2 linked regions of the Ovis aries genome follow. The protein of the gene in region 2 purifies or fractionates together with the protein of the main gene of each other region. This does not show direct contact. Links are inferred from orthologs where the notes say so. Each region holds a gene or a part of one and is shown on either strand. Other genes may lie near its edges. The genes, in order: TXN and PRDX1.

Region 1 (3,898 bases), on a different chromosome or scaffold from region 2:
CTGGGACGGTAGGTATGGTTTCTGTTTGCAGTTATGCAGGTACAAACCTGCACGCAAAGAAACACACCCCACCTTTGGGTATGACAAGGTAGGGGCACACAGGGTAAAAAGTAGAGAGATTATGTTTCCAAACCATCACCTATATTTTCCAGATGAATTTCCTTCAAAGCCTTCCCTAATGTGATTTTTTTAAGGTCAAACCAGCCATTCTTTACTGCAAGATCCAGGTAAGACAGGAAAATAAGGAATTACAGTGTCCGCTCAGATGAATGCATGATTTTGTGAACATGGTTGGCTTTCAGTCAATACTGGGGAGGTTACTTTCAATCTAGAATATCTTTCAGCAGTAAATTTTGGCTTCACTGAACATGAGTCACACAGCCAGGTATAGGTAAGACTTCATGACAAATTCTATTCTCTGGCCACTTGAGTTTGCATCTTACTAAGAAGCAAACCATAATTTCTAGCTTCCAGAAACTACCAGTGAGCATTGATAAAGGTCCCCATCACTGACACAAAGGTTCTGAAAACAAAACAATGCACTCATATTTGGGGCAAATAAATAAGAGCAGCTTCTGGCATCTCTTTCCCTAAATACACCCATTCCAAAGGCAATCAACAAGCCTCAGAGTGGTTTGTAAAGCATTCAGTGAAAGTGCCCGTGTGTTCAAATTAGGAGTTCAAGAAACGGCAGTGGCCATTCTTGGAACAAACTGTTGATTTCTTCTTCCTCACTTTTATAGTCTAGGTATCCCACTTGGATCTGAAACAGACCCCAGTGGTTCTGAACTACCAAAACCTCAGCTGTCTTGGATGACCAATGGCACCAATTTTAGTCCATCAGAATGAAAATCGAAAGTGTACTCAAGAGTTACAAGAAAACATTCAAATCAGCTTACCTTTTGATTGACTCTAGATCATAGTTTTGAAGACCCATTGATTACAAACCCAGATCAGTGCTTTTTCTGAGTAATGAACTTCCTGTCACCCTTGTACATCTTGCCATTAATGAGGGGAGGAAAGTGCCACAACTAAATAGGAAACTAAATATGGCAACTAAAATAGGAAAAGACTGAATTTTGAAAAGACTCTGCTCCAGGAATCAATCCATTTTTGGTTTGTAGTTGTATGGATTCTGAGACACATCAGCTAGACCAAAGATTTTTCACTCCTTTCATGGGTTTCAGAGATTCTACTGAAGAAGTCGCCAGCCTCTACAGAGGAACACCCCTTACTCCCCTCCCTCGTACCCCACCCCCCTCCGCCCCCTCTCGCCCAAGACTGTTACCAGTCATTCAGTAGATACTGACGCCAGGCTTTCCTGTGGCTCATGGTTAAGAAACCAGACGAGGAAATGTGGGTTTGATCCCTGGGTTGGAAAGATCCCCTGGAGAAGCAAATGGCAACCGACTCCAGTATTCTTGCCCAGGAAATCCCATGGACAGAAAAGCCTAGCGAGCTACAGTCCATGGGGTCACAAGAGTCGACATGACTTCACAACTAAATACACAACCGATGTTGACCCTAACCTGAGGAAGCAGCCTCAACGCTGTATAAAGCGTAACAGAAACATTCATCGAAGCATGGAAAACTGCCTACAATGTCCAGCAATGTCTTCAGTTATTGAAATGATTCCAAAATCTTCTAATTACACAGAAAGAGTTCAGACTAAATGTGACCACAAACACACACCTCCCAAATAAAAACGTCAATTATCTGTGGCTGCTTCTAGGAAAACAGATCTCTCTCTTCCCAGATTTCCTACAATGATCTTTATGTTTCTTGATCGTAAAAGGAAGAAAAGGAACCATTAACACTGAAACCTCCATTCCTCGAAGCCAACCTCAGATCTGAACCAAGTTCGGGCACTCCACTCGCCATTCCCTGCTTTACTGGGGTGGGAAGTTTTCTCCCACTGACTTTTCTGACTCTGGATTAGCATCCATTTCTTGGGGCGGGGGGCGCGCACAGTACACCAGACACTCAGGCTCTGAATTCTCCGAGCAGGAGAGTATTAAGTTTGCAATAACTCTCGATATATGCAACACTTTTTGCCTTGGGCATTCCTAAAAGGACACAACCGCCGTCGAGCACACGGCCGGGCGCGGCCGCACCCAGGGGACTCCGGGCTCCAGCGAACCCCACAGACCGAGAAAGAATCCCAGATGGGTAGGGCAGTGGAGGCCCCCGGGCCCAGCCTTGGGGACTGAGTCATTCCGAAGCCAGCGCTGCCGGAAACACGCCCCTGCGTCGCAGGAGGAGGAGTCCCGAGGGCGCGGCCCGGACTTCACTTCCTTGCCGCCACCTGGGCCACTAAAGCCGGACTCGTAGGGGTTGGGGTGGGGGTGTCTCCAGCCCGGAACCGCCCCTTTCACGCGGCCGCAGCACGCGTCACCTCTACGCCCCGGCAGCCGGGGGGAGGGGGGGGGTCTCCGGCCTAGACCCGCTCCCCAGGGAGCTCACTGCATCCAAAAGCGCGGGTGGATCACGCGGCTCCACGAGGAAGGAGTGGCGGCCAGCAAGCCCGGGCTTTCTTCAAGAAGCCCTCCACCTCCTTGCCCAGGCCCGTGTCCGGATAAAGATGGGGGGCCTAAGGCAGCCTCCCTCCATCCTCTACCCAATCGCGGCTTCCCGGGAAGAGGGGTGGCGGGGGCGCAGTGGAGGACTCCCGGGCGCTCTCCGCGCGCGTGCATCCTCCAGACACACTAAGTCACCTGGACAGGGAAGCCTGTCCGTCTCCTCCCTTCCTCCAGGGAACGCTCCACCGTCCCGGGCGCGCCCAGGCCCGGGCTTCCCGCAGTGCAAGGCCGAGCCGCCGCGTCCTCTTCCCCGAGGGATGCAGAGGGGTGGACTGCCCACCTTCGGCCCACCGCCTACCCCAGCTGCCCGGAGCTTCGTGCTGCGCCCTGGCATGCCCCGGAACGCGTACCTTGCTCTCAATCTGCTTCACCATCTTGGCAGCTGGGGGTCTGAAGAGCGACCTGACAGTGCAAGCGATGGAAACGGATGCGAGGCGCCGGACGGAGCTTAGCCAGCTCGCAGCCCGCTTTCCCTTTATAGTAACGGTGGGCGGGGCGGGCGGGCGCGCGCGGCGTGCGTGCGGCGGGGACGCGCCCGCTCAGGCCTCCCGCGCCCGCGCCGGCGCCAGGGGTAGGCCCCGCCTCCCGAAGCCGCCGGGTCGGGGCGGGACGGCTGGCGGGGGCGGGACGGCTGGCGGGGGCGGGGCCGGGACCGCTGGCAGGGGCGGGGCCGGAGGGGCCGGGCGGACGCGAGCGCGGGCGAGGGGCGGAGCTCCTGGGAGTCGTCTGGGCTTGAAACCTTCGGCATCGTCCACCTGTACCCCACCTGCGAGTGGGAAGGCGGGAGGGCCATCAGGTGATTTAAAGGGCGCATGCCGGCGGCCACTCCCTGATCTAGAGGGTCACCTGGGAAGGAGCCAGCCAGACCTTAATCGGACGCGCCCAGAGAAGAGGCCATTTATGGTTTCTCGGAAAGACCCGCTGTACCACCGCCCCACAGTCTCGCGAACCCCCACAAAATGCTGAGTAACGATAACCAGGAAGTGTCTCGGTGTGAGCCCCCACTCGCCCTCGCCGCCTCCTTATCCGGAATGTACCGCGACGGTTCTCCTGGTTCCTTCTTCCTGTCCTTTCACTTTCACCCAGGAACCTGCTGTTGCATCATGACACAGCAGTTTAGTGCCACTGTGAACCGACCGGGCTTCTGCCCGGTAGCGTTGATGCTGGTTGTTAAGTCCTGGGGAAGTGACACAGTTGTGACCCTGAGCAGGTGACCTCCCGGTTCCTCCGATTTCCTTACTGTAAGATGAGAATCAGGATGGTCCCTGATTCCTGGCGGTGGTGTTTTGAGGATTAAATAAAATTCCTTTAAAGTGATT
Region 2 (3,850 bases):
AAGTAGATCTTCAACCTGTCAAGCAGTCTCTCACCAACAATTCCAAATATTCACATTTCCAGATACCAGCAATGTTTCAAAATCAAAATATGCTGGTCCTTCTGACACACTTCAACCTTCCCCCAGGGTTTTGCTAACAAGCTTCAGCAGGTCAAGCCCAGGAGGGCACAGAGCAACTCTTCCTAAACCTCATGCCTTTACCCTTAGGCCAGGGTCACCTCCCTATGGTACTACTTACTTTGTTTGCCAGGAGGAGCTTTCCTCCACAGGGCCCCACTTATCTGCTCTCATTCCAACCAGTATGTGGAATTTGTTAAGAAATCTAGTCATAGGTTTTACCCAAAAGCTAACTCTATGAACTGCTGTATCACCAAGAAAGGTATACTTGACGCCTGAGTCCTTAAGTTTAAATTCTAGGAAATCCGTATTTTGAACTGTCCCAGAATACCTTGCTATTCTAGGACAGTAAAGTAAAAAGATCCTCATTAGTATTTGCCTGGTTTCTACATGAAACTACTTAACAGAAAGGAGAGTTGTTCCAATTGTGACATCAATTTTTCTCTGGGGGTAAAATGTCAAGGGAACATGCCTAAACCCTCAATCGTGACACACATTTTGTAAACTGAACAGTTTCACAGCTCCAAAGACTTGAGCTCTGAGACTTTAAATTGTCCAAGGCTTTAAACTGTAACAAGATAATGAGTGTATCTCCAGTTAAATAACTGAGGAGCAATATTGGGAAGATAATTGAGATATTATGTCCAGATATAATGAAGTAGGCACATGCCTTCTCCAGAAGTAGTTTGGACTTGGAGATCTACCCTATGTTCACTGATGATAATCACCACTTCAATAGGAAGGCAACAGCCTCTTATCCTAAAGACAAATGAGATGTAAAAATCATTTTACACTCAAACATGACAAGAGATAGAGTGAACAAGCCCTCCCTAGACTGTACTATAATTTCATATTAATGAACTTAATTACTCTTACCTTTGTAGTCAGCTAGGCTGATATCCTTGAACTGACCATCTGGCATAACAGCTGTTGCTTTGAACTGGGGGGCACGGTGCCCAATTTTGGCATTTCCTGAAGACATATTGCTATCAGCTGGAAAAGATGAGAAAGTGAATTAGAAACAAGTCTTACTTTTCTAGATAACAACCTTCATCTATTTAAGAGACTAAGCTGTAGAAATTGTCCACTGGTCTTGAATATACACATAAACTTTTATAACAGTGAGAAGCATGAACTGAGCTTTCCAACTTTTCAAACAAAAATATTACACATCTCTGAATCTCACCTCTGTTTTCATTTTTGAGGGGAGGGACTGTTCATTTAAGATCTTTAAATTTTTATTGGAATATAGTTGATTTACAATGTTGTTTTCATTTTAAAATGGGAATTTCTTTATAAACTGAACTCTTCCTGTTCCTGAACCATCATCAGTACAACTGCATTTTCCTGTGTACGTTTATTATACAGGTGTACAAAGAGAAGAGGGTGGAAACTCTCAAACCTGGGCCCAAAGGTGCAATGCCATAAACACTAAGCACCCAAGCCTCAGAAGCTGCCATGATGCCCTTTCCCTGGACTGCACCTCCATCTGCCTTCAGAACGTGGGAAGCACACGTTCTTTCTCTGGGTAGATTTCCCAAGACACACACCCTAAAGCCAATCCAATTTTTTAAGAGGCCAAGTCCAAGATTATGGCATCTCTCAATTTCAAAATTCTAAGTGTTGTGTTTAAAGCCCAGAAGTCCTTTCAAAAGTGAGTTTACCGAGGGACCAAGATCCTGGAAAAATGGTTAGAACAAGAGTCAATTTATTGCCAAAAAGCAACGTAACACTGGATTCACCCTGGTCAAGAACATGGTAAGATTTAACCCAGTAAGTCATCAGTTTGATAATCCCAAGAAGCTAACTTTTCAAGTCCCAAAATTCTTGGTTCATAATACTACAGCCAAAAGAAAGACTGAACATCGACTGTGACAATTTTTTTTTAACCGCTTAACACCTATAACAGCAAACCAAAAAACCCAACCAAACACAGGAGGTGACCCTAATATACATGTCCTCCTTATTCAAACCTTTTCCAAGGGATCCCTACGTCCACTAAAGCACGACCAAGAGCGGGAGGCGGGGAAGCTGGAGTTCCACCGGGTGTGTCCCCTTCAGGAAATCGCCCCTTGAAGGTCCCTGGTGAAAGCCACTCCGCCAAAACCCACTTCTTGTACCCTCCCTGCCACTCCCATCATCACCCCCACCCTAGCGTCTCAGAAAGCTCCAGAAGAGTGCTCAGTCTTCACCGAGGACATTTAGAATCACTACAAACCCCATTCTGCAGGTGGAAAAATAAAGACGGAGAACGGAATCTTAGTAACTTTCCACACCTGAAGACCGGGAACAACCTCTCCTTCTACTACACGATCGACTGATAGCTCTCAGTTCCTGATCAGTTTGCAGATTCACTCGAGAAGTTTCCCTTACCCGCGCGTCAGGAGACTCCATCACCACCAACCCGCCCAGACGCCACGCCAAGCCAATCAGCGCTTTCTGCTTGTATTGCTGGGGGTAGGGGAGACTCAAGCTGCCGTTAGCCTCGGGTTTCAACCTCGTCCCCGCACCCAAAGGAGCCCCACACGAGGGTCGCTTCGCCTGGCCGCCTTCTTTGTCCGAGGAGCCCAGCTGAGTTCAGCGGGCCCCGAGGAGAAGACGGGAAAGGTGACGGGCGGGGCGGGGGCGCGGCCCTCATACTCACCAGTTCCAGAGAAAGAGGACCGATACCAGCGAGGAAGAAGACGCGCGAGGCGTGCGCGGGGCGCTGCCTTTATAGCCTGTAAGGCTCTCGCGAGAGTCAGGGCGGGCCGGGGGTGCAGGCGGGGGGAATGGGGAGGGGGATATGGCCAGCACACCGCCGGGACCCGACGTGCCCTGCCAGGATGACTCAGCGCTTTCCCTTGCTGGGGGCGGGCTCCCGCCCTTAGAGTACCAATCCCCCTCTCGCCGCCGACGGTTGAGGCCTGAGTTTGAGGCGCTCTTTCAGTCCTTTCAGAACACGAACGCCTCCTCCTTGTTCGTAAGGCCCAAACCAGGGTACGGGCACTCGCTGCTGCTCACGGAAGACTACGTCTAACCAAACCCTGAGGAGAACGATCTCTTCAAGTATTTCTGAAATATTCCGCCCCTGTTTCCGCAGCCTCTGCTCTAGTACTGATCCTCCGTGTGTGTGTGTGTGTTAGTCGCTCAGTCGTGCCCGACTCTTTGCGACCCCATGGACTGCAATCCACCAGGTTCCTCTGTCCATGAGATTTTCCAGCAAGGATACTGGAGTGGGTTGCCATTTCCTTCTCCAAGGACTGATCCTCCGTAACCCTCATTATTTAGACAGCCTCTCTTATTGTTCTTCCTTATAACAGGGTTGTTGCATTCCAGCTCCCCTGCATGAGTTCCTTTCCCATTCACTCCACTGCGGCTGCAGGAAATCTTTCTGAAATTTGATCTCATTCATTCACCGCTCTGATTTGTGGTTTATAGAAACTGGGGCTCTGTCTTCCTGGGTTAAAACTCTTGTTATTTTATGTGTGGCCTTAAGGCAAGAGTCTTAATCAATCAGCCTTAACTTTTCTCGCCTGTAGAATGGGAATACTATGAATTCTTTGTTGAGATCATCTCTAGCTTATTTAGCAATTCTCACACATGAAAGTGTTAGCTGTTGTTTTTAGTGTAACTCATCTTGCTCCTCTGTCGTAACTCCCAGGACAGAGAGTAACTGTTTGAAACCTCAGGCTTTTGTTCGAACGTGCAGAACCTGTTCTCTCCTATTTGGCCTGCAGAAAATGTGTCAGCT

The links.
Region 1: the proteins of PRDX1 (region 2) and TXN purify together in Homo sapiens (affinity purification with western blotting; 3 studies listed by BioGRID, with this or other methods). This does not show direct contact. The link is inferred for Ovis aries from reciprocal best matches to the Homo sapiens genes PRDX1 and TXN.

The regions. Positions count from the first base shown.
Region 1 is NC_056055.1:13,077,045-13,080,942, reverse strand, and holds the start of TXN (thioredoxin), read right to left. Parts: upstream 3,015-3,898; 5' UTR 2,954-3,014; coding exon 2,930-2,953; intron 1-2,929. UniProt on the Homo sapiens protein: Participates in various redox reactions through the reversible oxidation of its active center dithiol to a disulfide and catalyzes dithiol-disulfide exchange reactions.
Region 2 is NC_056054.1:20,143,134-20,146,983, forward strand, and holds the start of PRDX1 (peroxiredoxin-1), read right to left. Parts: upstream 2,806-3,850; 5' UTR 2,512-2,805; coding exon 2,394-2,511; intron 1,111-2,393; coding exon 994-1,110; intron 1-993. UniProt on the Homo sapiens protein: Thiol-specific peroxidase that catalyzes the reduction of hydrogen peroxide and organic hydroperoxides to water and alcohols, respectively.